Bombyx mori: one gene and its partners. The protein of the gene in region 4 purifies or fractionates together with the protein of the main gene of each other region. This does not show direct contact. Links are inferred from orthologs where the notes say so. Each region holds a gene or a part of one and is shown on either strand. Other genes may lie near its edges.

Evidence for each region.
Region 1: the proteins of prefoldin subunit 1 (region 4) and prefoldin beta subunit purify together in Homo sapiens (affinity purification with mass spectrometry; 6 studies listed by BioGRID and IntAct, with this or other methods). This does not show direct contact. The link is inferred for Bombyx mori from reciprocal best matches to the Homo sapiens genes PFDN1 and PFDN6.
Region 2: the proteins of prefoldin subunit 1 (region 4) and prefoldin subunit 5 purify together in Homo sapiens (affinity purification with mass spectrometry; 7 studies listed by BioGRID and IntAct, with this or other methods). This does not show direct contact. The link is inferred for Bombyx mori from reciprocal best matches to the Homo sapiens genes PFDN1 and PFDN5.
Region 3: the proteins of prefoldin subunit 1 (region 4) and probable prefoldin subunit 4 purify together in Homo sapiens (affinity purification with mass spectrometry; 5 studies listed by BioGRID and IntAct, counting the BioPlex papers as one, with this or other methods). This does not show direct contact. The link is inferred for Bombyx mori from reciprocal best matches to the Homo sapiens genes PFDN1 and PFDN4.
Region 5: the proteins of prefoldin subunit 1 (region 4) and prefoldin subunit 2 purify together in Homo sapiens (affinity purification with mass spectrometry; 5 studies listed by BioGRID and IntAct, counting the BioPlex papers as one, with this or other methods). This does not show direct contact. The link is inferred for Bombyx mori from reciprocal best matches to the Homo sapiens genes PFDN1 and PFDN2.

Annotation. Positions count from the first base shown.
Region 1 is NC_085112.1:4,986,217-4,991,761, reverse strand, and holds prefoldin beta subunit, read right to left. Parts: upstream 2,750-5,545; 5' UTR 2,619-2,749; coding exon 2,250-2,618; 3' UTR 1,761-2,249; downstream 1-1,760. UniProt on the Homo sapiens protein: Binds specifically to cytosolic chaperonin (c-CPN) and transfers target proteins to it. Binds to nascent polypeptide chain and promotes folding in an environment in which there are many competing pathways for nonnative proteins.
Region 2 is NC_085112.1:5,060,096-5,067,291, reverse strand, and holds prefoldin subunit 5, read right to left. Parts: upstream 3,786-7,196; 5' UTR 3,630-3,785; coding exon 3,543-3,629; intron 2,584-3,542; coding exon 2,374-2,583; intron 1,760-2,373; coding exon 1,586-1,759; 3' UTR 974-1,585; downstream 1-973. Other genes in the region: glutaredoxin 3, read left to right, coding at 4,842-4,891, 5,183-5,351, 5,747-6,009. UniProt on the Homo sapiens protein: Binds specifically to cytosolic chaperonin (c-CPN) and transfers target proteins to it. Binds to nascent polypeptide chain and promotes folding in an environment in which there are many competing pathways for nonnative proteins.
Region 3 is NC_085117.1:12,409,363-12,416,394, forward strand, and holds probable prefoldin subunit 4, read right to left. Parts: upstream 3,812-7,032; 5' UTR 3,509-3,811; coding exon 3,476-3,508; intron 3,331-3,475; coding exon 3,109-3,330; intron 2,257-3,108; coding exon 2,104-2,256; 3' UTR 1,480-2,103; downstream 1-1,479. Other genes in the region: EN protein binding/engrailed nuclear homeoprotein-regulated protein, read left to right, coding at 5,352-5,447. UniProt on the Homo sapiens protein: Binds specifically to cytosolic chaperonin (c-CPN) and transfers target proteins to it. Binds to nascent polypeptide chain and promotes folding in an environment in which there are many competing pathways for nonnative proteins.
Region 4 is NC_085107.1:9,945,883-9,951,853, reverse strand, and holds prefoldin subunit 1, read right to left. Parts: upstream 2,934-5,971; 5' UTR 2,799-2,933; coding exon 2,382-2,798; 3' UTR 1,588-2,381; downstream 1-1,587. Other genes in the region: WW domain-containing adapter protein with coiled-coil homolog, read left to right, coding at 5,201-5,241, 5,356-5,389, 5,777-5,971. UniProt on the Homo sapiens protein: Binds specifically to cytosolic chaperonin (c-CPN) and transfers target proteins to it. Binds to nascent polypeptide chain and promotes folding in an environment in which there are many competing pathways for nonnative proteins.
Region 5 is NC_085129.1:192,870-199,914, reverse strand, and holds prefoldin subunit 2, read right to left. Parts: upstream 4,551-7,045; 5' UTR 4,195-4,550; coding exon 4,061-4,194; intron 3,979-4,060; coding exon 3,681-3,978; 3' UTR 2,143-3,680; downstream 1-2,142. Other genes in the region: molybdenum cofactor biosynthesis protein 1, read left to right, coding at 19-139, 356-816, 894-1,283. UniProt on the Homo sapiens protein: Binds specifically to cytosolic chaperonin (c-CPN) and transfers target proteins to it. Binds to nascent polypeptide chain and promotes folding in an environment in which there are many competing pathways for nonnative proteins.

The DNA of each region.
Region 1 (5,545 bases), on a different chromosome or scaffold from region 4:
GATATTCATATCTAGCCGAAATTCATTAAAACTATAATTATTCAATTCAATAACGGATGCACGACATGAAATTACAGCAAAGGTCAAGTGCTCTTGCTAAAATATCAGTATGTAATCATTTTACTGGTGGTAGGACCTCTTGTGAGTCCGCGCGGGTGGGTACCACCACCCTGCCTATTTCTGCCGTGAACCAGTAATGCGTTTCGGTTTGAAGGGTGGGGCAGCCGTTGTAACTATACTTGAGACCTTAGAACTTGTATCTCAAGGTGGGTGGCGCATTTACGTTGTGGATGTCTATGGGCTCCAGTAACCACTTAACACCAGGTGGGCTGTGAGCTCGTCCACCCATCTAAGCAATAAAAAAAAAAATTCGTAGCTTTTTTTCCCCTACCTATGATGATAGCCTTCAAGAGGCTATATCAGCGTTACGCTGCGTGTGCGTGAGCTCTCGGGGCTCAAATAGGTGTTGCTAACACTGGCCCTAACAAGAGCAGTGCTTCGCAGAATATACCACCGGATTCGAAATGCGACCCACTGAGAAAATCCGGCGAGAAACTCAGTGAGCTTTGTCTATGGATTAATTCGCTCGTTGAGCCCTTCGTCGCGAGCAACGGGTTCGGCGAGGACGGTGACCGGTGTTTGAGATACCTAAAAGCACCGTTAATGGATTCGTAATGACGTGTTTAGGGCGACGTCGACTGTTTACCATTCGGTCCACAGGTATGTAATTTCCGACGGCCACAACAAGAGTGTTTTTGTTTCGTACTGTTTTCTCAAAGCGGCGAGTTGATGCCGACTGTTTAAACTTACTGATTGAGTCAAGCTCCAGGTCATCATGGAGAACCACATTCCTTAAAAACCACGGTGCTTGAAGGGGTTTCAAATTAGTGCGTGAGGGATCATTACATTTGCGTCATGACCGGGCGTATGCAAGTTTTGTAGGTACCTTATTACGAAGGTTTTCGTAATATTGTCGAGTGTTATAGAGATAAATACTTGGTACTGTAATCCAGGTATCGATTTAAATTTAGCACTTTATGATATTGTAGTTGGTAGATAGGCTGTTCTCTACAGCTTGAGCTTTTAACCAGCGCTGGTTGTTGGCTGGAGTGATCTACAAGTACTGTTCCAGCTCCTTCAAGAAGTCAGGCATCTTCAGGTTGATCAGGTAAACACAAGAAGCTCACCATAAGTAGCTCTCTGCATTCAAAAAGGCTAGTCGCAGAGAACTATGGATGATATCCTAATTCAGTAATGAACAGTGACTCAAGAAATGTAGACTGCATAAAAAGAAAAGGTATTTTTTTTAGAAAGTTACAAACTTTATTAATACTAAAGTTACAGTTTCTTGGGATTCATTAGGAACAATATAATTCTTAAATTGGGTACAAAAGCTTATAAATGTGTATTTTTTTTATAGTGACACATTGTAACTTCAATGCCTTTAGCTTTATGTAGCTTAATGCAGGAGAATGAGTATCTTGAACGTGATTAAGTTGCACTATGTTGAGATTCAAGACACAATTTTTTTTATGCCTGTATTCTTTATGAGCAGTATTAATTATTGAATAAATCATTGGAAACATAATTAGAATAAGTTTATTAAATTACATTTGTGCACTTTCTCCACTGCCAGCTTAAATTATGCCGACCATTTGTATACAAATGCAATACATAACATTTGTAATAGGTATTTAAAAACAAAAAATTACCCAATTTTTTTTAGATTGTCATATGGTTTTAGGTTAATATACAAAACTACTGGTAATAGAAGCGAACAATTATTCTAAGATGAATCTGGTTTCAAAACTAATGGTACTCATTATACCGTCAATTACCTTGCAAACTTTCAGCTTATACACACAAAAATAAATATGTACAAGTAACAAAATATTTTAGTTTTGAAAATAAATAATAAGTAAATAATAGGCAGCAGTTTGGCTGTGCTCCTGGCATATCTGATGTCTATGAGTGATGGTGACATCAGGAGGGCCACAAACATCTGCCTGCAATGGCAGTAAAATAAAAACTTACTTTCAGTAAGATTTTTTATTTTTATATTGAGTTAACAAAAGGAAGAGGTAAGTTTAGTGTAATGCCACACAGCAGTTTTTTCATGATTATTGCATAGCTAAACATACATTAAATTATTAATGTGTAATATTTTTATTTGTAATAGTAGTTCTCTAAACATACAAGTGAGTCATAATAGAAGAATAGAAATATTTTACTTTTAATTCACACATTTTTCAAGCTTTTAGTTTTAGTTTGCCAAGATCATTTCTAAGTTTATTTAAGTTTTCTTGCAGTGCTTCTTGTTTGTTTTCTAAAGCACATATGTGATCATCTGTTCTTTTGATTTCTTTGCTAATGTACTCCATACGTTTGGAGACGTTTTGTCTGGCTTCTTCCAAATCTTGCTTCACCAATACGGGTCCGATGAGTTTGTATACCTCTGAATCTTTTCTTAAGAGTTTTAGTTCCTCTTTGACTGCTTTATTTTCATTTAACTGGCTGTCTAATTGTTGTTTCTGAGTGACCGCTTTCTTTATGTCTTTTTGAACACCTTGAAATAATTCGAGCTGTTTTTGAAACTTTTTTTGTATTTCTTCCGCCATTGTGTTTCAGTCAAGGTATGATTTGATAGAAAATAAACAGTTTAATACAGAAATCTTTTCCGTTTTTTTTCACCTGCTCAAAAATTTTAGTTGAGGTTATGTCTCAAATATATTAAGTGTATAATCTATGGGTTATGTGTGTATTCTCTATGGTTTTGTCATTTGTCTGACATTGATTTTGAAATTAACCATAGATAATACACAAAAAATTTCAAGTGTCACTACGTACCGGTAAAATGGGGCGATTAGGGACAAATTCCAACTTTATGACCAATTTTAAGGTAGATGTTGATGTATATAATGCTATATCAGGATCGAAATGATTGAGTCTTGGGGGCATCTTTGTTGTCCAATTTAAAACTATGCAACTAGCATTCCAGTTTAAGCAAAAAAAGCAAAAATAGGTGTAATCCCTATTTACCCGAAAATTGCGGTTAATTGGGACGAAATGAGAAATTTGCTAGGGCTGCCACTACTTGGTTTTAATTTATTTATTTATTTAGTTGCACCAACAAAGTGATCATCAACTTGATTACATTTATTTACTTATGATTAATTTATATTTACTTGAGAAATGATCCGCGACAGATTTGTCCTGTAAGTTGTGATACAATTAAAAAAAATTTATTTCATCACTTAAAATTAGTTCAGCGTAATCGGACAACTCCGAATGAACATTGACGGAGACCATGCTACCGTGGACATTATTGTAGTCCCAAAGGAGAGTAAGCTTTCTTATAAACGGTTTATATTTTTTCGTTCTTGGTAAGTACTTAGGGGCTGATATTTTTATCTGGGTTAAGAGATTAGGTGTGTTGGTTATTCCATGGATTAATCAGATGAATACCCCCACTCTGAACAAATATTAAATATTTTACTATGTATTACTTAGACATTTTTGTCCACCTTGACATTTCATTGTTCTTGTTAGATGTCTGTGCAAAATCGACTTACTTATATTAAATTGCTTAGCTATTTCAACTAAAGACTTATTCCCAATTTCAAAGGCTTCTATTGCTGTTTTTAATATTAAGGGATCATATCTCTTTTAAGGCTTTGCACTCTTTAATACGTACACGCGAGGCATTATCTAAAAATAGAAAACAGTACGTAACTGATAATATAAGTATTTACCAAACAATAAAATAACACATTGATAATTTTGAATAAAAGTTCTAGACAAAAACATCATGAATAAACAAGATTTTTACCAACAAATTTAAAAAATATTGTTATAACTACATAGACAACCCTACAAACCTGTACCTATTTATACTCAGCTCGTTTCCATTTCACGTATTCTCATCCCAATTGACCCCTTTTTCGTTGTTATTTGTACCTAAGACGTCCCCAATATCCCCAAAAACAACAGATTTTTACATGTATTTTTATTTTATCAAATACATTAAAACCAATAACAACTGAGACTTACCTTTAATATATATGATGGCTCAAACACTAAATAACGTGTATAAATCACAGTCGTCTTCTATTAATATCAAATAAATAAAAGAGAGCAAAGTTTCTAGCACCAAAATAATGACCACCACAGGAAGTTAATTTGAAACGCGATTTTTTATAAGTTAGCAGCTATTATCATGCATATTCAGAGTTGTTTTGTGAACTTTCAACATTCTACTATTAAACTAGAAAAAATGGAAGATTTTGCAACGAATATAAAACTAATATTGACTGTCGAAAGATTTTCCCGGTTTTTTCCCAATTCGCCTCTCAATCCCTAATCGCCCCATTTTACGGTACTGTTCGTTGTGTGAATTTTCTTGAACTTCTTTCTATCGAAAATAATTGGGATCATACACACGTCGACTATATTTAACAGATTTTCTTAATTTTTAATGATGAGTTCGAGAGCATCCCTTTCACTCGGTCACGTGAAACAGATTAACAAATTAAAAAACTATAAATTACGAGTCCAACAAGGCCAGTACGCACTTTTCGCAGAGGTTCCGTCTTCACTCCTATTCAGCAGCGAACCATAGGGGAGTCTTGTACATTGTCATGAGAACATTGTGGAACATTGATATTTGAAGGAAGCCTGTGGGAGGCTTAAACGACGAAAGGAAGATCTTCCACCGAGCGGATGATATTGCTCGGTAGACTGACGGTCTGAATGTTGTTGTTCGGAACTTGTTTAAATGGAAGCTTGTCTTGAAAATATCGTAAACAAGATTCAGGTATCTATCAAATATCTTGCGTTGTATGATAGCTACCGTCACAAAGCCGGCCGTCGTTATTAGGCGGGGGCCGATTTCGAAATGACGACCAATGTTGCCACGAGCCTCCATTTGGGGGTACTAAAGTTGCACCACCACTACGATGCGGATGTCATAGTTAACGAGATGGGCAACACGGCGACGGTGGCGGATTTCGAGGCCTGTGAAGCAACAGGTCCTGGGTTTCCTTGAGCGCCACCTTGAGGCCCAGCTCCATAATTTTAGACTTACACCCGTATCTTCAGTCGTTTACACGAGCTTAACTCAACTCGACTCAACCTCCAACCCGCGTTTTGGTATGATTAGCATAGACCTATATAGTAGGGACACGACATATTGTTCTATACGTACAATTGCTTATATAAATAGCACCCATTTTGAAGGCACATACATAAACATATATCTATCTCGTTCTTACTCAGCACTTTAACTCGCAGGAAAACAATATAACAGTATTTCAGTGCGTACATAAAATGAAACATGAATATACGTAAATATCTCCGTCTCCGTCTAATGAGGCCGAAAATCCGCCATGTTTAGCGCGCCAAATGTCATTGTCACGTCAATTCGGCCGTCTGTTTTGGGTTGTACATTATTTATTGACTTTGATATCGATTTAATATGATTGATTATATAAAATTTCATAATTTATCATGCTTAAAACATACAAAAATAATAATTAAAACGCATTTT
Region 2 (7,196 bases), on a different chromosome or scaffold from region 4:
ACGGTAGGTATACTTATGAGATAGTGAAAATCCTAGTATTCGAATCATGGAATTAAATTATTTTAAACTGTGATATTGTACAGACTTTAAGTCTAATAGCTGTGCATTTTTCGCTACCTATTTGCTGGTAGTTTAAGGGGCTATTGTAGCTACGCGCGGACGAGACTGCATTAATCATCATCATCACTACATAGTACAAAACAAAGTCGCTTTCTCTGTCCCTATATCTGTCTGTTCCTATGTATGCTTAAATCTTTAAAACTACGCAACGGATTTTGTTGCGGTTTTTTTAATAGATAGAGTGATTGAAGAGGAAGGTTTATATGTATAATAACATCCATTAAGTAGTGGAGAAATCAATAATAAATTACAGTTTTGAAGCGAAGCGAGGGCGGGTCCCTAGTAAGTTATAGAAAGAAGAGTTTAGCAATACACAAAGGCGACATCCGAGTCGTCTATTATCAAAGGTGGCAATCTGTGCATTTGGACAAAAAAATGTTATTGATATGTCAATACAGATTGATTTGAATATAATCGTCTCCTTCAAAGAATACGGTTCAAAACCTGCATTAAATAAAGGTTAATAGTTAACCTGTTATTTATCTAAGATGTCGTTCCGAGGAGTTTTGTGACTGCCAATGGAATACAAAGTCAATAATTCGTTTTTCTAATTTACCAATAATTGTCCAAAAGTCAGATTGCCGGCTTTGATAATAGTCGACTCATCTATGGATTGTGTAAGAAAGTTGTAAATTACATTTATACGAGTATGTAACTATCCTTCTAGAATTTGATTATTACTAGATACAACAACAATACAGGGTGTTATTCTTCAGAATTCAATAATTAGATCATTAAAACATTTAAAACAGTATCAGAATATATCTTAAAAAAAGAAGCCACTTTTTGCTGATGTTTGTTTTAGCCGCGTTTTTTTTTTGTTATACTGGATCGTTCAAGTAAAACTTGGAAATATATTTATATATTTATTTTAAACATAAGCACATTTTGTTACATTGAATTAAATTTAAAACTAAGCAATGAGTCTTGTACTTGTAAAACACATAGTTTGAAATGATATAAAGCTTTACAAAATTACAAAACATGAATTAAGAATATTATTAACATTACTTGATGCTATTGAGTAGTACTCTTGAGGAGTATTCTAAACACAAAATATTACCTTAGGTAATTAGTTTCAAAATTTATCCAAAATTAAAGAAAATGTGAGGAAAAGCTTTGATGTGGCTTAATAATATTATCTAGCTTTACATTAGAAAATATCAGTATAAGTCATAGCTGTTGGGATTACGTTAATACATTCAGAAACTTGGCTTTGCTCTGAAATCACTGATGTACAGAAGCAATAGTAACCACTTTGATTAGGACAGGGTGATACGTGGTAACAAAACACAAATGATTCCACTTTTAACACTAAGATGTAATCATTAAAATGTTTTAAAAAGTAATTAAAATACTTTAAATAAACTATAAATTAACAAAGCAGAAAATTTAGGTCAACTCTATACATTAAAAGGACACGAATCTCTCCACAAAATATTTTTTAAATTAAGTCTCAGATATGTTATGAAGAGTTAGCTTTTTTTGCTTGTAGTTCGTTTTGAACTTTCATTTCAACTAATGCATTAACAGCTTCACGGAGTTTCGATTTCTCTGCACCTAACATACTTATTTTCTCCATTTGTTCTGTAACAAATTCTACTCTTCTCTTGAAGTAATCTTTGCCACTTTCAATGTCCTAGAAGCAGAAATAAAACGTAATACAAACATATGTCAGCATCATTAGCCCTAAGGGGTAACCCATGCAGTTAATTTGAAATTATTTGAAACTATATCATGATTCAATCTTCATACCAATATTCTAAAGTACTCAACATTTTCTGAAATGAGGTTTGAAATGAAAACAGCAGCTATACATGATATATTATCCTGCCAAACTTGGAGCTGAATTAAGTGTTAAATTAGGTTTAAATTTATTTTTAACTAGCGCCCCCCCTCGCCTCGCTTCGCTTCGGAAACATTAAATTTTATTATTGATAGCTGAGTCCCGCGATGTTATCCCGTGGTACGACAATAACCGACGCCGCGGGCCGAACCTAATCTAAGAAGTAGCCTAAGTTACTCCTTATATCATCAGCTACCTATCAGTGAAAGTCTGGTCAATATTGGTCCAGCCGTTCCAGAGATTAACCGGAACAAACAGACAGACAGGCAGACAGACAAAAATTGTAAAAAATGTTATTTTGGTGTATGTACTGTATATATTCATATGCATGTAGTAAAAAGCGGTTATTTCAATATTAAAAACAGACACTCCAATTTTATTTATATGTATAGATTTAAGTTACTCACTTTCTTAGCGTAATATCCAGTGCCAATGTCAATAATGACATTCTCAACATCAGCTATTGTGCCAGGAACATACATTGAACTAGTCAATGGAACAAGCATCGGTTTTCCTTTGATATCAGGCGTCATCTTCTCTAGAACATCTCCTGATTCACCAAACTTATTTTTAGCCATTTGTAATGTTTGTATTGAATCATGAAATACTGTCAATTCCTGAAATAAAATTTTATGGATTTTGTGTGAGAGTATTGCCTTTTTTTCGGATGGAGATAGCTGGTTGCAAGGAGGCCACTACTGCTTCACTAAGATAGGCAGGGCAAGCATGGGAGCAGCCAGGAGGAGTCAGATTTACTAACAGCTGCCCAAGTACTCCCAAAGTAGACCTAAAGACTAAAGGGCAGACGTTTTACTAATGCATATTGTAACATAACATCAGTTACTAACATACAGACACATTTTCACTGGTGGTAGGACCTCTTGTGATTCCGCGTGGGTAGGTACCACCACCCTGCCTATTTCTGCCGTGAAGCAGTAATGCGTTTCGGTTTGAAGCTGTTGTAACTATACTTGAGACCTTAGAACATATCTCAAGGTGGGTGGCGCATTTACATCATAAATGTCTATGGGCTCCAGTAACCACTTAACAACAGGTGGGCTGTGAGATCGTCCTCCCACCTAAGCAATAAAAAAAATGTCTCCCTCAATTTAGTCATTATGTTTGATGTTCCATTTCTGGCTAATTATAGCAATAGCTACAATACAATAAAGAAAAGCGGATATGACCTGAAGCTGACTGTTTACGAAATAGTCTTCCAATAAAAGATCAGAACAACAACATGATGACTGCTTGTCTACCAAAAATGAGCACATTCAGTGAAGTCTTCTCTTTAACATATCTTAGATTCATAGCTTTGTGAGTTGGTATTTGAGGTCCGGGTTCATGTCACTAACAAGTACACCTAGATACACAACTCAGACCAGAAAACATATGGAAATGTTTTCATTCCGGCTTTCATGAGGGTCCTTAAAATAGGACATAAGTCCTGTCTCTTAAGGACATTAATAGTTACGACATTTAATAATTATCTGTATAAATTATATTATGTTGAAGAAATAATACTTAATGCTTACTATTTCTAAAATAGCTCTATAGATATTTCCTTTATACATACCTGGTCTAACTGCTGTTTCAATTGAGCTAGTTGAGGCAAAGGTAGTTTGTTTAAATCGATTTGTTGAGTGCCTGAACCGGATGCCATCTTTGTAAATATTAATAAAAGGAAATAATAAAAGAACTTAACACACGTTTCTAGTTATTCTATTTAGTTTTTTGTAGGATCCTAAGACTATTTCTTTTTTCTAACCTCAAAATAGGTAGATTTCGGGTAGGATCCAAAACTTCAGTCAGAATATGTCAATTTGACAGTTTTACTTGTTTGGTCCAAATTGACATGCAAACAAATTCTGCCTATAACACCAAATAAGTGAAAAAAACAAATCGATAAAGAAAACCTCTTAGTAAAATGTTGAGAATTTACAGAAACTAAACTGGATTTATTAGTGTGTATCAATTTGGCTAGTCATATTGGTAGTTTTCTACCAATTTGACCGCTAACGAAAATCGTATTAAAGAGGTTAATAAATTTATAAGTTAACAATTATGTTGCGAGCATTTCGAGAGAGCAATGACTAAGCAAACCTTTTAATCACCATATAAATTAGCAAAAAAATTGGCTCAGACACAAAAAAATCTACCACTAAGCTTGATCATTAACCGTAAACAATAAGATGGCTAAGCGATTTTAAATAAATAAGATATACATGACATAATATAACTTCGCTGTGTTGCTAAAACTCCTTATTGTGTACATCTATTTATTATTTATGACTCCTTTTGCTTGTCCAAAAAACAAATCAAACAAAAAAATTTGGCTCGAAATAGAGATGATGATTCGACTTCAGACCAAAATTTTGAAAAATCGATTCTAGAAAATACCCAAGTGCAACCAAAATGACACAAAAATCAATCAAACAGAAATTAACAACAAATTCATTCAAAAAATTTAATAAATACATGATTTATATACAACAACTTTTTAAATTATTATTATTTAAAATGTAAATTTAAATTTAATAAACATTATATTTAATATATTCATAATCAGTTGAACCATAAATACTTTATTAATGCCTTTTCATCAAATTTCGATTTTCTACTGCTTAAGATGTTTCACTATTCACGATTTAAGTTGTTAACAAATTAATTTACTCAAGTATCGATCTTAGACCACATCCCTAATCAGAGATGTCAGAAACTGAATGAACATGATTAAATAAATTGTAATTTTTGCATCGAGTACACCTACGATTCCGGATCTTGCTGTAATTGTAATTCAATCTTGCTGTAATCCAGTGGCGCTTATATACTGTTTACAAAATTTATTAAAGTAACCTAAACATAGTATACTGAAATGTCGGTCAGTAAATTGGACTCTGTTGAAGATTTTAATAATTTTATAAGGTAAGAATCACCGCTAATAAAAAAGTACTTTTAAAACCGTTTGTGAAAGGATCATTAAAAATAAGCCATAAAAAGAAATTAAATTAAATACACAGTAAATAGGTAAAAATGTTAGATAATAAATTACTATGTAGCAGGATGGTCAACATTTTGCATTCATTGAAATGGAAATATGTATTTAGAATATAAAATTGAGAATATTACTTTCAATTAATCTTTTATCACAACAAGATGATTCTTTAATATCTATCTTGGTATTGGCTGATATCAAAAATTATTTAATTAATTTAGATCACCTGCACTTGGAGTAGTACACTTTTCAGCAGAATGGGCCGAACAATGTAAACAAGTTACAGATGTACTTGAAGAACTCTTAAAACTTCCTGAAATTCAGTCGAGCAAGACACAATGTGCTGTTTGTGATGCCGAGGCACTTTCTGAAGTTTCCTTGCAATATAAGGTAATGCTCTGCTAATATATTGTTAAATAAAAAGTAATAAGTGCTAACCCTAAAAATGTAGTGCATCATAAAGCACAGACAATTAAGTCACCTATTGCAATACCTGTGTATACTTTTTTTATTATTTATTAAAGCCATACACTTATTAGGTTAAGTCGGCTTATATACCTTTATGGATACATCAATTTGTATCTTGATTTTGGTTACTCAACTATGCATTAAAGACTTTATGTCATTCTTCAGATTGAAATAGACTACTTTAGGAAACACTACACTAGACCAGTTAAGCAATCAAAGAGCCTATGTAATTGAATATTGAAATAATTTATAATGAAAACAATCAAAATAGGGAAAGCCTGTTTTAGACAACTTATTAATGATTATGTTTATTTCAGGTAGATTCAGTGCCTACAGTTATATTATTTAAGAATGGAACTCAAGTAGACAGGATTGATGGAGCAGATGCTGCTCAAATTAGCACAAAAATTAAAGCACAGAGTCTTAATAAGAGTCCTGCAGAAATAACCCCTCAGAAACTTGAAGATCGACTAAAAGCTTTAATAAATAAGCATAATATAATGGTATTCATGAAAGGGAACAAGGAAACTCCAAGATGCGGGTTTAGTCGTACTCTCATACAAATTCTGAATGGAACAGGGTATGTATTATTGATGAAATGATCAATACCTATAATTTGATTGCACTATTTTACATGTGTAAGTATAGATGTGACTTTGTCATGTGAAATTTGGCTTGGCCCTCGAGACAAGTTTTGTAAAAACTAAAGAATGGAGAACATTTTGCCTATTTCTACAAAACAAATAGGTATGATTTAAATTGCAAAATGAAAGATTTTTAGTTTTCTATTTTTATTTATTTTGAATGAATATTTATAGTGAATATATACATATAAAAATCACATGCTTTCTTACTCTAATGTAAACAGCAGTCCATCTTCACCAATTTGATTTGATATTTTCATGACACTCTTCATAAGTATGAAATCATTTTTTTTTTATTGCCTAGATGTGTGGACTAGCTCACAGCCCACCTGGTGTTAAGTGGTTACTGGAACCCATAGACATCTACAACGTAAATGCGCCACACACCTTGCAGAAATAGGCGGGGCGGTGGTACCTACCCGTGCGGACTCACAAGAGGTCCTACCACCAGTAATTACGCAAATTATAATTTTGCGGGTTTGATTTTTATTACACGATGTTATTCCTCCACTGTGGAAGTCAATCGTGAACAATTGTTAAGTACGTATTTCATTAGAAAAATTGCTACCCGCCTGCGGGATTCGAACACTGGTGCATCGCTACATACGAATGCATCGGACGTCTTTTAGGCCACGACGACTTCAAAATTACCTATAAACTTGGTTTATTTTCACAAGTAAACCGTGGAATAAAAACTTTTCTGCACTCTTAGCGTGTGGCGGGTAGCCATCATACAACGCAAGATAATTGACAGATGCCTGAATCTCGCTTATGACATTTTCAAGATAAAGCGCATATATCACACATCCCATCACAAGTGGGCTGTGAGCTCGTCCACACATCTAAGCAATAAAAAAATAAAAAAAATACAAGTTCCGAACAACGACATTCGGACCGTCGGTCTACCGAGCAATATCACCCGCTCGGTGGAAGATCTTTCCTTTCGTCGTTAAGACTCCCAAAGCGCACATCAAAACACTCCTTTTGGCCTGACATAGCTTTTTTAGTACTTTTTTTGTTGGTCACATGTTTTTAGTGTAGTGCTAGAAATAGTACTGTGACGTGCTCGGGTTCGGGATAAATAAAACTTTCACCGAAGTACAAATTAAAACTCTATTTAACT
Region 3 (7,032 bases), on a different chromosome or scaffold from region 4:
TTGTTGTCAGTGCCTAACCTAAAGCACAGTTACGCATCTATTATAATAATAATATATCGTTGATTAAACTATTTTGACATCGACTTTTTGTAGAAAATGTTAGGGCTCGTCTGGTACGTTCGAAGAGTCGAATTTGTTTGGTACAAATTGTAAAACGCATCAGCATAATATAGTATACCGTTAAATTCTCGCCTCATATTTATAAAACCCGGGTTTAAAATAAAACAGCCCTGTCTTTAGGATATGTTCCTTTTTTCAGCAATATTATTTTTAGGTTTATTGATAGTAATAGCCAGGCGAATGTGTTGCCGAGACATTGTACTTAATGGAAAACACACCAAAGAATTCGAAGCACCAAAAATTGCCTGAGATTTTTTCAGATATGCCATTTTGTTTTGTCGATATTGGAAATGATGAAGCTTTGTATTTTGCGGTGGTGTATATTTGCACATAAAATAGTGGTGCACATAAAATGTGTTTTTCTTCTGTATTATATTGTATTAGTATTATGATTAGTAGCTTTATTTGTTTGATAAATTAGTATGATTGTATTAATCAAATTAATTTTGTGATAATAAATTTTAAGGTTTATGTTTATGCTAGTAATCCTGGTCACGCTTTGCCGTGACTATAAGTAATTGTGTGAAAAAGATATATTTCTTGAAACTATTCATGCGCTATTTATGTTTATGGTACTATGACAGAAACCTCTCCTGGAGCTCCAACCACATATTATTATGCATCATCAAAATAAATCACAAGTAACACATACTAATCTCACACAAAATTTTAATACAATTATAATTTATCGATTACATGCAGTGGTGAGATGAGCGGTTCGATTTTAGATTCTATGAAAATATGACATTAATACAAATGAGTTCAGTTAATAAGGTTAAGGTTTATTATTATTTAATTATCATAAAATTATTACTACCTAATCAACGGTTTAGTAACGTATAGGGAACACAACTAGAATCTTTATACATCGCACTTATGGCAAAATTCTTGTTTTTTGGTAAATATAATTGAAATTGAAGAAGCCAAAAATGTAATTGAAGAGTTGTAATTTTTCAGTTTTTAATACTTAAAGCCTTAAAGCGTATACCTTAAATATTATGGTATGCCCTTGATTTTAAAGAGAGGGAAAGTGTACTTTGTCCTTTTCTAACTAAAAAGGTGGTGTGTTATTTCAAAAAGACTACTTATAACTGTACTACTGTAACTATACTTGAGACCTTAGAACTTATATCTCAAGGTAGGTGGCGCATTTACGTCGTAGATGTCTATGGGCTCCAGTAACCACTTAACACCAGGTGGGCTGTGAGTTCGTCCACCCACCTAGGAATAAAAAAAAATAACAGTTCTATATCATATAAGGTATTGTTGTGTAAAACACCTCAGAAAAGCTTAATAGTGACAGCATAGCATGACTGGGATTCACTAATGTACGTCTACTGTCTATTGTAATAATGAAACTTTTAATTAGTATAATATATTTCAATAAAAATACAAGACCTGAATAAGTTGACAAGTCACGAATGCAACTTTCATGTTTAATTATTTATTGAAAGTTAAAAAAGATAGATATCAATTTTGGAGTAACTCCCAAAACATTTTCACACCTTCAACATAACTACATAAGCACAAGGTTAGCTATGTACCACTATTCAAGTAATAACATTTTTTATTATGTACTTTGTTTCCCTTTTATGAAAATGCATCATAGAATGATGTCTGTTATATTTTTATTTATTTATTAAAACATATTTAGTTATCGTGATAATAAATAATTGATGTGTATATTATAGTAATGGAAAATAACTTAAGTGAAAAATCAGTATACATATTCCACAAATCTAGATAACAACAATAATATATTTTGTTCTATATTTAAGGACCATTTCTTTGAACTTAATAAGTCTTTACTGTAATTTTAAACTGCATTGAAGTAGGTCAGCCAATTTTCGAATTAAGAAACATAAATTCTTATTGTGTAAAAACAACAAAGTTTAGAATAACAATAATTATTTGATGTGAAGCCTATGTAACTTAAAAGCTTAAAATATGAGTACAATTTTTGTGAACAAAATTAATGTTGTTTCAATCTTCCTCATTTTCCAAGTTAATGTGGCTACCAAATTTTCCATACAAGTGTGCTTTCAAGTCACTCATTTGTGATTTTAGTTCCTCACATTTTTCTTCTAAATCATGAATTTCATGTATTTTTTTTGCTTTAGCTTCCTCAAGATTTTTCTGGAATAAAATTATAATACTAGATTTAAATATATATGAGTCGTCTATTATCAAAGGTGGCAATCTGTGCATTTGGACAAAAGTTTTTTATTGATATGTCAATACAGATTGATTTGAATATAATCGTCTCCTTCAAAGAATACGGTTCAAAACCTGCATTAAATAAAGGTTAATAGTTAACCTGTTATTTATCTAAGATGTCGTTCCGAAGAGTTTTGTGACTGCCAATGGAATACAAAGTCAATAATTCGTTTTTCTGATTTACCAATCATTGTCCAAAAGTCAGATTGCCGGCTTTGATAATAGTCGACTCATATATAATATTATTTAAGGGTATATACCCTTTTTTATTTATTGAGTTAAGTGTTAAGTTTAAATATAAAATGAGATTAGATAGTTGGATATTTTTTAGTTCTCAATTTTCAGTTGGATTAATATTTAACTAATCTTCAATCAAGCTTAACCTACAAATAAGGCACTTTTATATATTAGAAAGAGAAAATTGTATGTTTCTAAAAATCTATAATCTAACAAGCTTAGCACTAAAAGGGTCAAAAAAATTTGTTATGAACTTAAGGCTTGTATATGATCCTACAAAATGCATTAAGTAATCTGTCAAAAGATGAGTGAGTTTTTGTTTTTGAGATATGCACTGAAAAATATTTAAATAATTCTCTTGGTATTCGCTTTTTACTGAAGCATTAATATCAGATTGAACATACATTATTTTATAAATAAGTTTAGGATAAACTGCTGCAACTTTCTTTTATCAAATGACCACTATTTTACTTTTAGTTAATAAAATATATAATATTAATGAAATTTTAAAGAATATTAATGTGATAGTCTTACCAAAGTAATTTCCAAATTCTGACAAATAAAAATTTCACCAATAAGGTAAGGGATTTTTTCAGAATCATCAGCAAGGCTCAGTTCCTCAACTGCTTCTTCTAGGTTCTTTACATCGTTTTGTTTTACTTTGAGCTCATCCTTATAATCGTCAACTTTAGCATTGAGACGAGCAAACTTGTTAATTTTTTGTTGATCTTCATATGAAATGTGTACATCAGAGTCCTAGAATGCCGAGGAGAAAAATAAATGAAATTCAATAGAATGTTCATGTTTCGTACCTAAAATGGTCTCAATATGGTTAATTAATACAGTAAATTTCTTCTGCTTGTTATGTTTTGACAAAAATAAGTATTGCACATTTACTTACTGGCTGAAAAGTTCCTTTAGCTGTAGTTGACATGTTTACTATCAATATTTAAACATAAAGCATTAAATTTCGGCTGCGCTTAACCTCAAATCGAAATTGTTCATTATTGTTCACTTTTTTTAAGCGTAATTTGTTCATTGAATAGGCAAAAGGAACTTAGCCTATAAAGCCATGTTTGTAACGAAGGCCGAACGGAGTGAATAGTAATTGATTTTGGATGTTTATTGATTTTATGATTGATGATGATTAAATGGAATAAAATGTAACCAAATTCAACATAAGATGAGACAGCATGGTTGATTTTAAAAGGAACAACCTATCAGTAAGATGGTGCCTGCTCATTATGACTCATTAGACTACCTAAGTTTCGAACAACAAAATTGACATTGGATCAGCTTGGTGGAAAAAAAACTTCTACAAAATTATTTTTCCTACCTAAGCCTTGATTTTTTTTTTTTTTTTTTTTTTTTTATTGCCCTTGTAGGCAGACGAGCATACGGCCCACCTGATGGTGAGTGGTTACCGTCGCCCATGGACTTCAGCAATGCCAGGGGCAGAGCCAAGCCGCTGCCTACCGCTTAATACTCTCCACAAGCCTCGTTTGAAGAAGGACATGTCATAGCGCTCGGGAAACACCGTGGAGGGGAGCTCATTCCATAGCCGGATGGTACGTGGTAAAAAAGACCTCTGGAAACGCACTGTGGATGACCGCAGTGGCTCCAGGTAGTATGGATGAACTCTACTCCGGTGGCGGGCGGTGCGATGGTAAAAACGAGATGCCGGTATCATCTCGAACAATTCCTCAGAGCACTCCCCATGGAACATACGGTACAAAATACAGAGGGAACCGAAGTCCCTCCTTGAGAGGCTATTTCAGCGTAACCTTAACTAGTAGGTGAGCTCACCGGGCTCAAACCGGAGTGACGCTAACACTGACCCTAGTAAGAGCAGTGCTTCGCAGAATCTACCGCCAGATCGGAAATGCGTCCCACTGAGAACATTCAGCGAGAAACTCAGTGGGCTATGACTATGGGTTAATTCGCTCGTCGAGCCCTTCATCGCAAGCGACGGGTTCGACGAGGACGGTGCTTGTGGTGCCTAAAAGCACCGTTAATGGATCGGGAGGATCCGTAATGACGTGCTTTGGGCAACGTCGACTGCTTACCATTCGATCTACAGGATCGGGTATGTCTCACAGCGCTCAGCAGCCCTAACTATAATATGAATGACTTCGTATACCTATTAAAGATTTGACGAATGTATCGGTATATACCTGAATGTGCACGGTAGAAGCAGGCTGGACGGGGGAATCATAGTCTACAAAGACTCCTAAATAAAAAGAAAGATAAAAAGAAAGATAACGATTTCATTCCACTCAACACAAAAATTCGGAGGTAGGAGACTAAAACGAGAATGTTGAATGAGAATTACTACAAATGAATATATATTATGTTAATAAAAATACCCAGATAAGTTCATCTGGAACGTATCTGGGTATATTTATTTATCCTTTTCATTATTTCAAAATAAGTTAGAATATTACCCATAATTTAATATCAGATACCGTTGTGCCGTGTGTTTCCCTTGATTGATTGATGCTTCGAATGATCTGAATGAAATGAATAGAGCAATATTATACTGATACGGATTTTTTATTATGGATCTAAGCGGTATTTTCAGCCATTGTATAAGAATGCAAAACCGGGCGGGCGACCGGCGACCCCACCACGGCCGTTCTCTGCGCCTACGCTCGACGACACCACTCACTTGTCCTAAGTTGTCCGCAGACCCGCACTTCAACTTCGAACATCAGACACAGTGCGCGTTACCCAGAGACGAGCAATAAATAAATTTTGATAAACAGTATTAGGTCGTGATGGAAAAAGAACACCAGCCAGACTCGATGGCTACAATAACTATGAAGCCGGAATATCCGCCTTCTGAAGTATACAGCACATCAGAACCGCCACCGGTATGCAAAACCCGTTACCTATTTAAGAATTAATAATATATTATTATTATCATATTGAATAAAAATATGATTAACATTACAATAAAACACAAACTTTAATTTTTAATTAAATACGTACATTATTTGAGTGCAGTAACTGAACAAAAATCTTTTATTTTTATAGATTACATTAAAATAAAATATCAGATATGAGTCGACTATTATCAAAGCCGGCAATCTGACTTTTGGACAATGATTGGTAAATCAGAAAAACGAATTATTGACTTTGTATTCCATTGGCAGTCACAAAACTCTTCGGAACGACATCTTAGATAAATAACAGGTTAACCATTAACCTTTATTTAATGCAGGTTTTGAACCGTATTCTTTGAAGGAGACGATTATATTCAAATCAATCTGTATTGACATATCAATAAAAAACTTTTGTCCAAATGCACAGATTGCCACCTTTGATAATAGACGACTCATATAGTATAGTCATTAATTTCCTGTACCTATTCAGAAATGTATGGTTTTCTAATTGTTAAACTATTATGACAGTCACTAAATGAGGCAAAATAATTGTGCAGTCGAATAAGTAGGATACAACTGGTGGAAAGCGCCTTTCTCTCGGTCTAGTGATTGTCTATAGCAGGTGACGCGTAGACACTTGTTTGTAAACACAGTTACTTTATTCATTCGAGATATTGGCAATATTAGTGTTCGAAAGACCTAGAAATCAAGAAATACCAAGTTATCTAATATATAAATTGTTAGACGAAGCTACGACTGAGTCAACAAAAATTAATTCAAACAATAAATTTTTCTGAAGTAAAATTTTACGAATTTATTTTATATTTAAATTATTGTTGTATTCTCCACTTATCAAGTGCTTGATTTAGGTAACAAAAAATATGAGTTTTTAATAAAAAACATTTTCAAAGTTATTATTCTCAGATTTGTTTACACACATCTTTAGCTTTATATTTTTTGCAACCAAAAATGAGAAAGAAATGACATGAGGAATCATAAATTATATTAATATGTTAATCGTGGGAAATTATATTGTTGTGTTTTGTGCGAGCATCTGACAGTTTCTCATCAAAATCTTAAGACTTTATTAAAATCTTCTATAATATTCAAATTCCAGATTGGTTTAGTCCAAAAGTTTTTGTAGTTCAACATGCTAAGTCGTGGAAAGAAAAATATCTATGCGGTTGAATTTTCTTTTTTTTTTCTTTTTAACATCTTTTTATTCAGAATTCGCTTCATTAAGTATATTTTTTTGTTATTAGATTAAAAAAGTTCGTTCGCAACATAGTTCAGAAATTGTGGGCACATTTAAAATAACACTAGGGACGACCAGTAAACTTAATTCTATTGAAAATATAATATGATTTCTTGCACCTCAAAATCATTCCACTTGCATCGAGCCTATATTTACTTTTTGGTTCGTTTAAAAAAATACACGCGGAAAAAATCTTTTAAATAAAAGCCTTCTTGAAAGGATTTGGATCGTCCCAAAAAGACTAGATTTGAATTGACGTGAATGATGAATTGATTGACCGCGCGGTTTTTCCCCATAATCTTTACAGCCATGACTAAT
Region 4 (5,971 bases):
TTATTATTTCTTCAAGTTTAATTGTGTAAAAATGTGGGAAAATGAAATAAAGTTAAAATCTCACTGCAGTCTTAAATAAACACTCCATCTTATTGGGACACAATTTCGTGACATTTCATCTTCACAATTTCAAATAAATGAATTTCAATTAATTTTGCCCCATTTCTCATTTATTCTTAATTTTCCATTTTTCAATTAAATTGTTACTTAAAAATGGAAGATGTTTAAAAAGTCAACACTGGGAGCAAAGTGGAGCAAAGGCATCCTAAGTAGGTACCTAATTGCCATATTGAAAAAAAGACAAAGAAATAGTTAGGTATAATATTGTAAATACCTAACTGTAATACTGATTACTGGTGGTGGGAGGGAAGTCTTGTGAGTCCGCACGAGTAGGTAGCACCATCCTGCCTATTTCTGCCGTGAAGCGGTAATGCGTTTTGGTTTGAAGGCAGGGACAGCCGTTGTACTGTAACAACTGAGACCTTAGAACTCTTGTCTCAAGGTGTGTGGCAGCAGTACTGAAATATGAAACTTATGGAAATGAAACGTCAACAAAAAATTCGTGTCACTGGGCAGCAGTTACGTAAATGTCTCAATGTTAACGCCAGGTGGGCCGTGAGCTTGTCCACCTATCTGAGCAATAAAAAATGTTTCAGCCACTATGCAAACATAATAAAAATAATTTGTTTGACGATCGCTCAGTTATCTTAGATGTGCGCTAAAACCTAATCTTCTTATGACCCAGTAGTATATTCTGGGGTACGAGTTGACGACGCAGTCGACGGTGACAGGATTTTGGCTGCCCACTGCACTTAGGGGAACAGAACGTCGTTTTCTTCGCGATCAAAACAATTTTTGAATTTCAAAAAACCGAAATTTAAATAAAATTAGTATAGATATGTAATTAGCAAAGTATTTCATAAACATGACCTAGCCAAATTCTAATCAGTGTAGGTTCAGAAGTTTTTCATAAAACATTGGAAGATATGATTCATTAACTTCGAAACCACTAACAATATTGATGAAAACTTGAAATTCAAACGATTATTTGAAAATAATTTTATCATTTATCTGTGAGTTGATGTTCAATCCTATCATAAGAAATAACAGCTTTTTTTTATTAGATTGGTGGACGATCTCACAGCCCACCTGGTGTTAAGTGGTTACTAAAGCCTATAGAGGCATAGACATCTACGATGCAAATGCACCACCCACTTTGAGATGTAAGTTCAAGGTCTCAAGCATAGTTACAACGGCTGCCCCACCCTTCAAACTGAAACGCATTAATGCTTCACAGCAGAAATAGCAGGGTGGTGGTACCCACCCGTGCGGACTCACAAGAGGTCCAACACCACTAATTATACAAATTTTAATTTTGCGGGTTTGATTTTTATGACACGATGTTATTCCTTCACCGTGGAAGTCAATCGTGAACATTTGTTAAGTATGTATTTCATTAGAAAAACTGGTACCCCCTGCGGGATTCAAACACCGGTGCATTGCTAGATATGAATGCACCGGACGTCTTATCCTTTAGGCCATGACAACTTCAAATGCAATGTAAATTTCATAAAATGAAAAAAAAAAGGATTTAATATAATTTATTGTGATACATTTAGATTTTTTATTCTCTGCTATTTTAATGAACAGCAACTTATAAAGCAATAATATATTACTAATAATGCAAGAAATATGTTACTAATTTTAAAAATATTATATTTGTTAAATTTGAAAAACATTAAGTTATAAAACATTGTTATTATATATTCAAGATATTTAATGTATTGTTAATGAACCAGCAAGTTGTCCAATGGAAATTTATACAAGACATAAGGAAACTATTCCATAAATTGAAATAGTAATATCAAATATACCAATTCTATAACAGAAATAATGATAAACACTTGATCTACTACAACTTAGAAGATGATAACAGGATACCTACGTTATGAGACTAATATTTATTTTGGTACGATAATAGAGTGGAATTTTGCATTCAGCTTATTTTTATTGTTATATTACAGCAGTGCACTGCTCTATAATTTAATATTCCTTGTTTCGAACTGTAAACTGTACAATGTCATCATAATATAACAAATAAAATATTTGTGGGAACAAATTCTTTACCCCTCGTATTTTATGATATTCAATCCTTTTATTATATTGTTTAATAATACAGTACATTATTTTAATAATACACCGACTTGTTTGTTGAGCAATCTCATGTGATGCAAATCATTGTTGCTTACAATTGTAGACAGTTTTTTCTATGTACAGATAATTATTTTATATTATAATTGTATTATTAGCTAAAAAAAATTAATAGACAAAGTTGCTTCATTAACAATTGATTTCATGTGGATAATTATAATTCCAATCATCTATTTTTTTGAAGGTATTGGGTTTGATTCTGCTGCTGGCTGATTTTCATTTTTCATCCTTTTTTGCTGAATCAAATCTCTGATGTTGGACTCACTTTCATTTAAAGTGTGGTTTAAACATACCTTTCGATTATTTAAATCGTCAATGCGGCTTATCAATGTATTGGTTTTTTGTCTCAAATTCTGTTTAATATGCTCTAAGTCTGATTGAACAAACATTCTTGCCATAGATTCATAGGTTTTCGTTCCAGGTGGTAGCACGTCGATTTCACGCTGAGTAAGATTTGTATGCATTTGCATGCGTCCCAATACGGCAAGCTGGTGATCTATATTTTCAATAGTCTTTTTAGTTTCAATCATTAGCACTTGTAAATCGACAAACGCTTGTTTTAATTCTAGATCCACCGTTTTAGCCATTTTGATGATAGTTGTCAGAAAATAAAATCACCGTCTTGGGCACCTATGACAATTTTAAATACAAATAGCCTCGTTGCTTTTCGTAGGCACGGTACCTACCTACCCATAGATTATACACTTATTATATTCGAGTATAGAGTGGGTGAAAATAATATGTTTATTATCTATGATAATGACCAAAGACTCTTTTCATCCACTCGTCTACTTTGAAAAGCAAAGGGGACAAAAACCATGTATCTGATGAAGTCATCATACGCTTTTTTTATAACTTCACTTTAGAATAGGTACTTCAGTTTTAAAGCAATTTAAGTGTCTGTAATTATAACTAATGCCGGCCACTCACATGCGCGCAAATATTCGTACATTGGACGAATGTTTGCGCGCATGTGAAGGGCCGTCAAACATTCATTCGCAAACTTAGTGGCTGTGCAAATGGGTTCGGAATCCATTTTGCGAACCCGTTTGCGCTTCCTCCTACACTTGTTTACGAATGTCTCACGAATTTTTCCTCCTTTTTAATTCGTCAATAGAAAATTGCAGAGAAAAAGAGTTTTGAATTCTTTCCCAGACATCATTAACAGTCATGCTGTTTTTATGGGATTTCTTTTGATGAAGATACGCTACACCGTAGACGTCACGATCTATGAAAATAGCGAAACGTCCGTTGCTTGCGCAATCCTGGGCGCAACTGGTCACTAGACATGTGTAAGTAATGCGAGTGATATTACTCGGGTAATATTACTCTACGATGTAATGCAACATCACACATTACGCGAAGGAAACAAACATCACACTATCACCCAACATGTTTCTTTCTTTGTCGTGTAATGTTGCTTAATACACGAACGGAACCGAGCGAGCGAGACAGACCGATCGACGCAAAATAAATGAGCAAGCGACACGGAATTATTCCTAGTGATTTTGAACCGTATGTCCTGGCCGCTAGGTACATTTTTATACCTATGGTACGTCTGAATTTTAATATAGGTATTTGTGTTTATATTTTTCATGCGGCCAGCCGGTAGCTCCCCGCAAGTACTTACTTAATTTTTTATTCGCAACTTTTGTAAAATCGCTAGTCGCTCGTAATTGTTTAGTAATATTTCATATTAATTTTTGTGTTTGATTTGAATTACTTAAGCACTTGTTTGAAGATAGTTTTATTATTTGTTTTAATGCGTGTTTAATAAGTGAAAGAAATAACGGCGTCTAAATGAAAGTACAGTCCTCCTTGGATGCACTTTGAGGATATCGCGCCGAAACAATGCATCTACTGCTCTCGTATATTAACATTATTGTCGAGCTCAATTTGCAGTCTAAGTCGCCATATGAAATCCGTTCATCCCACAATAAATTATATTAAGTAAAAAATAAAATTATTATATTATTAAGTAAGTCAATCTGTCAAGTAATATAACAGTGTATTACAATACAAAGTTCATACTTTGTATTGTAATACACTACTGTAATGACACACCCGAATCATTACCTAAGTGATGTGTTTATACACATCACTTAGGTAATGATTGATGAAAACATTACACATCACTCTTAACATTACTCGGTGCGTTCAATAGATACTGTGACGACGAATACATTGTATCTATACACCCGAATCATTACCTAAGTGATGTGTTTATACATATCACTTTGAACGCACCGAGTAATGTTATGAGTGATGTGTAATGTTTTCGAGTAATATCACCTATCTGTAAAAGTGATGTCATATCACATTACATTGGGAAGTGATGTTTTGCGCAAGTCTACTGGTCACACGAATGTGTGGGAGACTACGCGAAGGATCGCGGTTCGCGCGCTTTGATCTCTGTTTTAAAAATCGACACAGCTTTGAAAACCACGAATGCAGCGAAAACTTTGCATAATAATTTGCAAATGTCGTCCTACACTTGCGGGTTTGCGTACTCGTGCGAATGTGAGTGACCGGTATAAAATTATATTACTTAAATTTTTAGGGGAGGATAAACACAAAAAGGGCTCATCATTCAAGCACTTTAGATAAAATTAGATTTTATGAGAGAGTAATGTCCAACTAATAATTTAAATATTTGTTGCTAATTGTAATAATAATATTGTAATTGTGAATCATAATATCTGAGCCGCATGAAACTCCTGTGGTGATGAGGATATTCATCAGTAGTTTCTTGTGAACTCAGATTGAGCGAAAAGATCATAGACAAAATAACCTAAAATGTTTGCCACTACTTAAAATCAGATTTGGCGTCTCTTTCGCATTTCATTTTACTCTTTCTGGAGTGTCTTGAATGTTGAATGTGACATGGCGTCCATCAAGATATAATACGGCCTTCTGAAAGGACTGTTTCTATGACAGTGGAATTATTTTGCATTTTACTGAGGCCGTAATAAATCGTACATTTGCATTGATGGTAATGCATGCAAGGAAACCACAGCGGATAAGCGATGGGTACGGTATAGCTATAACTGCTTGGGCTTAACATTCCCAGAATATGTACATGGCGGTCGCCGATTAAGTTTTGCTGTAATTTGGTTAAATTTTGATGATTAATTTTGTTTCCAGGTACTTTGAGAAGCATCAGGCCCATCCGTATCAGGTAAGCTTGCACACAAAACAATGCTGGAAGTAAGCCTGTTCATTGTAAAATTGAAATCAAACCGGAGTTTGGCGAGTTATGTACTTCTCTACGTAATAACTGTTCTCGATAATTATCCTGTCTTAGATGGTTAATAAAAGCAACCGTATCCCACAAAATTAGGCGTAGGTATCCATTAAAAACAACAAATATACTTAAATTGGAGTACTAATCCAATTACATGGTTATGTTGACTTTCGGGGATGTTTATTATATTTTAAGTTCTAAATGTTGAAGTGACATCCTGAATTTATTTTTCATCATAATGTACTATAATACTTCTAGATATATCGTATTTGATCATAGCTTTAGTGAATATTGAATATATGATTTTATGTATTACAACAGAAATACAACTCTAAAAGTGAACGAAGAGTCGCAAATGAATATGTATCTTCTGACAATCGGTACACACCACTTCGATCACCTAATGGCAATGTGTCCTCACATGGCCATAACACACATTCAAGCCAGTCCAGTCATAGTCATCACCACTACAGTCATATGGCAGATGATAGAGGATATGTCACATCTAGAAATTCC
Region 5 (7,045 bases), on a different chromosome or scaffold from region 4:
CCGTGTGTGTGTGTGCAGGTGTGCCTGTTCGGGGCCGCGGAGGTGTCGCTGCGGGACGCGGTGCGGGGGGGCGCGGGCCCGGCGCGGCTGCTGCAGCTGGTGCGCGCCGCGCTGCACAACAAGAAGGCCGCGCACGCCGGTAACTGGGCAGCTGCTCTCTCCTACCTTGCCGCTCTTGCCTCTTCGCCCTGTCCACCCTCTCTGAACTAGTTCGTGTACTCTGCACAATCAGCACTGCACGAATGTAGCATCACCGGTCCCCCTCGTCCCGAACCCGCTTGTGCTGCATCAGCTCATTTCCTTTACTAACATTGTTCGTCTTGGAACGAGTTTCGACGCGTTCTTGGTATTTCAGTAGCGCGAGCTCGGTCCGGGCGGCGCGAGGAGGCGGGCGAGCGACGGGGGGCCGGGGGGTGGGGGGCGGCCAACCTCCGCACTCTCGCTGATCCTTCCTCTACTTATAGGAATGCAAAATTTGGCGCACATGGAGAACCGGCCCATGATTCTCATAGGCGGGTAGGTGACTTAACCTCGAGAGACGGGCGCGCGTTCAAAGTACAGGGGGTCGGGGGGAGCGGCCGGCTACAGGCGCGCGCTTACTGCACGGGGGGGTCGCGGGGGTCCGGGGGGTCCGAGCCGCCCGCCCGCCTCTCGCACCTGGACGCGCAGGGCCGCGCCCGCATGGTGGACGTCAGCTCCAAGCCGCGCACGCAGCGCGCCGCCGCCGCCGAGTGCGAGCTGCGCGTCGGCGGCCGCCTGCTGCGCCTGCTCCGGGACGCCGCCATGCCCAAGGGAGACGCGCTCACCGTTGCCGAAGTAATTTATTTCTCGAATTCGATGCAGACCCAAATGGAATCTTTAAAATGAATGATTAAGTCAAACACTCCTTACAGATCGCGGGAGTGCTGGGCGCAAAGCGCACGTCCGATCTGATCCCGCTCTGCCACCCGCTGGCGCTGGAGCTGGTGCGCGTGCGGGTGTCGCTGCCCGGCGGGGAGTGCGCGGCGGGGGGCGCGGTGCGGGTGCGCTGCGAGGTGGGGGCGGAGGGCCGCACGGGGGTGGAGATGGAGGCGCTGGTGGGGGCGGCGGTGGCCGCGCTGGCGCTGTACGACATGTGCAAGGCGGTGGACAAGCACATGTCGGTGTCGGAGCTGCGCGTGGTGCACAAGTCGGGCGGGTCGACCCCGCGCGCCCGCTCGCCCCCGCCGCCCCTGCGCGCCCCCGACACGACCCCGCTCGACCCCAAGGAGACCTACGCGCCCACCGACCTCGCACACTTCTAACTGGTCACCACAAACCTGTGACTAGTGGGTAGTGCCGCGCCGCGGTAACGCTGTGCCCTCGCTCCTCCTCGTGCTTTACTTCGTGGTTATGAATTTAGCTTTTAAGGTAATGGTGCTATTGTACAATATTAACCAAGAACAAAATTAACTACTGGATGTTAATAAAAAACAACGTTAAGTCTTCAAATTTTATTATAATTTAAATACATGTTAATCAAATGCGACATTAGAATCTTCTCACACTGGGCTCCGGCTGCGCCTCTCACGGACATAACACAATGCTAACGGAATGCAGAATGTTAGATTGCAATTATTTTGGATTATCATAGAACATCATCATATATGACTGGTATATCAACAAACTTGAGGAACAGTCAAAGCTGTTAAATTGTAAGACATTTAGATGTGCTGTGCGCGGGATATTATGCGAATTGCTCGGCCAACTAACTGTATGGCCTTCTAATATTCATTCTACTTCATTTCGTTCCTAGAAATATGAGTTCGAAATCTCAATTGCTTTTGAAGGTTCCACCTTACCTGAACGTAACTGCTTCTTGGAATAAAATGGATGTTAGTGGCGCCCGCCGTGCGGCTCCACTAGACGCCATAGTTCGCCAGCACAACACTCAGAACTATTTTAAGTGGAAACATTGTAAAAAAACCTAAATCCATCCACTGTGGTTTCTAATACCCCACCTGATACATGGAGGTAAGAAGGCAGGGCCCGACTAAATGTAAAGTTTGGATTACAATAAACATGTCAACGAAAGGACTTGCATGCCAATTGTTTGTTATCCTCTGTGGTATCAACAGTATTGGAGATTAGTCGTCAGACCCTTACAAGTCCAAACTACAAAAATGAATTTTTCAGAAATATATTTTATACAAAATTACTTTACATGAAATAAATATTAGTACACTTTTTTTTGTTTAGTTATTCTTTTCTATATTATAAAATAAAGTTTCTTGTTATTCCTGGCTATTTTTATTTTAAGTAACAATAAATTTTAAGGTTCCAAAAATTAAAACCAAATATGAATCTAGCCATGATCATGTTTTATAATCATATTAAAATTCACCTGATGAAACAGAAAAAGTTGTCACTGTTTTATTGTGACATCCCACCTGGTATTAAAATTTTATCAGACCTCTGACAACATTATGAATGTCACCATCCTGCTAAGAGTATAGGAAGTTTTAATTATATTGTATAGTTGTCCATAGAAATAAGGTAATAATCTAACCATGCTCACTTAGAGTATGGTGCAAGTAATAAATTATCCAAACTTATTAACTTTTCAGTTGAGACTTTTTACACAAAGTTATTACCTGATTGCCATAGTTCATCTCTGAACTCGGACATGCGTATAGTATATCATTCAAATTGTTGGCAGTAAGTTGGCTCTACCCCTGGCAATGGTGAGCCGTATGCTCGTCTGGGCAAGGGCAAATGAAAAATTCAGGCATTCAGGCTTGTTAACTGGCCAAACACTTCAAAATAGCAGTAAACCTTAAAGCTATGTACACAGTTAAACAATACTCTCAAGGTTTCAGTGATATTTCTACTTATTACAGTTGCCTACCAATCACATTGACTCTGCATAGGTGAGCTTCAGATGCTGTGACAGCATTGGGAATATACATATAGCACAATGTGGAAAACATTTTACTATTTAAATTATTTTTCTCTCATATATTACTCTAATGTTTAGAGTTTAAACATTCAAAGCTTATTGTTTTTGATTAGAAATATATCACTGTCACCTTAGACATTGTTAAAGAATGGTGAGGACAACAACAAAAAACTCCATATTGTCTTGACTTCTTAAATGAAGCTATTCTCATAATTGTTGGGACAAAGAGACTGCTTCTCTGCATTTGTATTACATATTCCATGAAAAGTGTTGAAAAGTTGTTCAAGATCTATTTTATTATTAAAGTTTATTATCATACTACTTTCCACTAGACAAGGGTTCATATTCTACTGCCTGAAAAAACTGTTTATTGAGTTTAATTCCACATTATTTGAGCACATTCAGCTGGGGAATTAATTATTCTCTGTGGAGTTTTCGCTGTAGTATTCCTTTCTTTAAATATGTGGTTAAGTGTCTTGGAGTATTGTCACACTAAAATGATTTATTTATCTGGTTGAGATGGATATTCAGTTAGATTTTCCTTTTCTTGTCATCATATTCATAAAGTACTGCTTCATAATACCATGTTTGCCCCCCTTGCCCCTAAACATCAGCCAGAACTAATTTATCAAGCCACACCGTAATAGTATTGTTAATAATAAAAAGTTTCCCAGTACTACCTCACACTGCTTTAGGCAAATGTAGGACTAGTCTCACTGTCAATACACTGCGACAGCTATATGAAATGAAAGGATCAGTATAGTTAACCGCTAGCAACTAGCACATTAGACTTGGTAGAGGTGGATTGCTCTGGAGGTGGTTCAGGCATGGTGCGATCAGCACGTTGGATGCGAATATCATGTTCCTCAATGTATTTATTGATCTCCTCTCCCTTCTGAGTGAGTTGGTCTTCTAGGGACTGGATGGCCTTAGGTAGCTGTTCATAATTGCTGATCAGCTCTGGCAACACCTCAGCTACGGTGCGTTCGACAAGCACGCCCCCAAACATCCGGAAACACTTACGGGTCAACTCCACTCCCCGCAAAGTCTCAATTACGATCCTGTAGACATAATTTACTATGTATTTTGTATTTTTTTAAGCAGTAGATTGATATGCAATAGATTTATTCCACATTTACTCACTTATGTTCGTTTAACTCCATTTGTAATTCTGATATTTTACTCCCTAATTGACGTTGTTCATTACGAAGAGTTTGGAAACCAGCAAAGATTTCCTCATTCGTTTTTTTTCCTACTTTTGATGTATTTTTAGCCATTTTACTCTAGGTAGGTAGGGGAAATGGAAATCAAAATTTTAGGATTTTTTTTTATATAGTTTTAAAAAAAGAGTAATCAATTTAACTCTCTTTGAAAAGTAAAAATAATCACGGTTTACTGAAAGTTTTAAAAATAAAAGAACATGTAAATGTATTTTAAATTAACAAAAACTCAAATTAACTAGTTTTTATCGAATACACGGATTAGGTTATGTACATTAATGTACATGTCAGTTTTTTTTTTGCGAACGCTGGCTACTTTACCTTTTAGGCAATTTTTTTTTTTATTACTTCACAAGAAAATCTTTACCCTCAAATAAATTGTGACCATAGTTTGTGAAACACTTGAGATAAGTTTGAGTCATGACAACCAACTCCTGAAAAGCATCTATTATATTTAAAAAGCATTTTTGGGACGTATTTTGATAATATCCTAATCCTTAGATTAAAAGCATTAAAGTCTTTGTCTATTACTAATAAAATTTAAACTACTAAGTTCTAATAGTACAATAGTTGGGGAAAAAGTTTCTTCGCATTTTTTAAGAAAATTCACATTTTTTAATATTGTTTATTTACATTTAACTAAAGTATGTAGGTACCATTTTGTTCGATAACTTTTTGCCATCTTGTAGGTAGGGACATGATCCCATTGCTATGGGGCTTCCGATCAAAATACCGCGACAATTGGTTTTGGCAGTCCTCTCGTGATGTTAACCTGACAATGCCTAAAAAATTCTGAAGAGATCGAAACAGGTGGAAGTCTGAAGGTGCAAGGTTAGGACTATAGGTAGGAACATTTTATCCGTAATACCCAGCTTAGATAAGAAAAAAAAAATGTATGTGTGACGTGTGTGCAAGTCACACACGGTAGAAGTGAAACCTTTAAAAAATAAAAATTATCGCAAGGGTCAACCACTCCATAGTGCAATGGAGCAGCCTCACCCTGGGGGAAACCGCCTGCATGATCACCGTATCCCTACGCCAAGTAAGTATGATTAGATTATTTTTTTCCTACCTATGCTGATAGCCTTGAGAGGCTATATCAGTGTCGCCTTAACTAGTAGGTGAGCTCACGGGGCTCAAGCCGGATGATGTTGTTAACACAAACCCTAGCAAGAGCCGTGCTTCGCAGAATCTACCACCTGATCGGAAACGCGACCCATTGAGAAGAACCGACGAGAAACTCAGTGGGCTGTGTCTGAGGGTTACTTTATTCGTCGAGCCCTTCGTCGCAAGCGACGGGTTCGACGAGAACGATGACGGGTTCGACGAGAACGATGACCGGTGCTTGAGGTACTTAAAAGCACTGTTAGTGGATCGGGAGGATCCGAAATGACGTGTTTGGGGCGACGTCGACAGCTTTCCATTCTCACCGCAGGATCGGGATTGTAGTTACCGACGGCCACGATGAGAGGGTTCTCGTGTCGTGCCGCTTTATCGAAGTGGCGCATTGACGCCGACTGAAGATACTTACTGATGGACTCTAAGTCCAGGTCGTCGTGGAGCTCCGACGGCTATCCTGCAAAAACGGGATTGAATAACTTGGAATGATTTTAAGCTAGTGCGGGCCGCGTGAGCGAACACTGCGCTTGCATAGGTCATATCAGGGCGTACGCAAGTTTTGTAGAGTGTCACCCTATTTCTAAGGGATAATTTACTTCGCCTGCATATCATCGGATAGAGAGTGTAGAGACATCCTAGTATGAAGGCGGCATGATCACGTACCGTCTTCAAGTGGGGGCGGAATGTCATTTCTCTGTCGAGGGTGACGTCTAAGTATTTGACCTTCGGGGCCGACGGTATGGGTTGGTCGTACATGATGAAGAGGCGAATGGCGGAGGCGGAAGTGTTAACGCGCCTAGTCGGGAGTAGGATGTTCCAAGTGGTTGTGATTGAACAAGAGAAATACGAGAACGTTTATCAACTGTGTAACATCTCATCACCGCGATTCAGGAATTGTTGAGTTTACGTGCAGTGACATCTGTTGATAACAAACTAAATAGAAATAAAAGTATCTCAGGGCGCTCCAAGAGCCACGACAGCATGCACGGACATCAAAAACACACTGAACTAGTCGAGGATGCGAGACCGTGTGGAGTGCTTCGTGATTTGTCGGCGCCGCTCGGAGCCGCTTCGGCAAGCCAATCGCGGCACACTTATTTTTTCGTTTCGTTTCATTTCGTTTCATCGAGTTTGAAAACACAACGATTCTAAAAAAGTTTCACTTCAAAAAATCACGTAATGATCACATATTAACCACAGTGTGTAAATGTGTAATGTGTTGAAATGTGTAATAACAGTGGTTTATTAGCTGTTTAATATTTGTGAAAGTGCACAAATGTGGGAAAATGAAACAAAGCCGCTGGACATAATCTCTTGGGACCCTCCAAAAAGTCCACTGAAAAAATCTCAGTAAATGACCACTATTTTAGTGAGATTACATTTCATCTCATCTCATTTAATTTAATTTCATCCCAGTTGAATAATGTCTCAAATTAATAATCTTCATATTATTTCCCTCAATATTATAATTTAATGTCTCGTAGCGATCTTGATTAGTTAACAATGAGCTATTCCTTTGGCTGATTTTAATCTTAGTAGTGATATAAACAGAATCAGTTGTCCAGTGATATCTTCATCTTTTGTTGTACGATTTAATTTCTGTTCTGTAAGGTAGGTATACTGTGCCTCCTTAATCTAGTAAACTGCACAGCTCCTGTGCCTCCTAGGTCCGACGCCAATTTATTGACGTGTGTCGATAACCTGGCTTGGTATTTTTTGCTGTAAGCTACTATTTCCTCTTTCACTGTGGGAATATTTAGGTCCATTTGTATGATCTTGTTGCTTATGT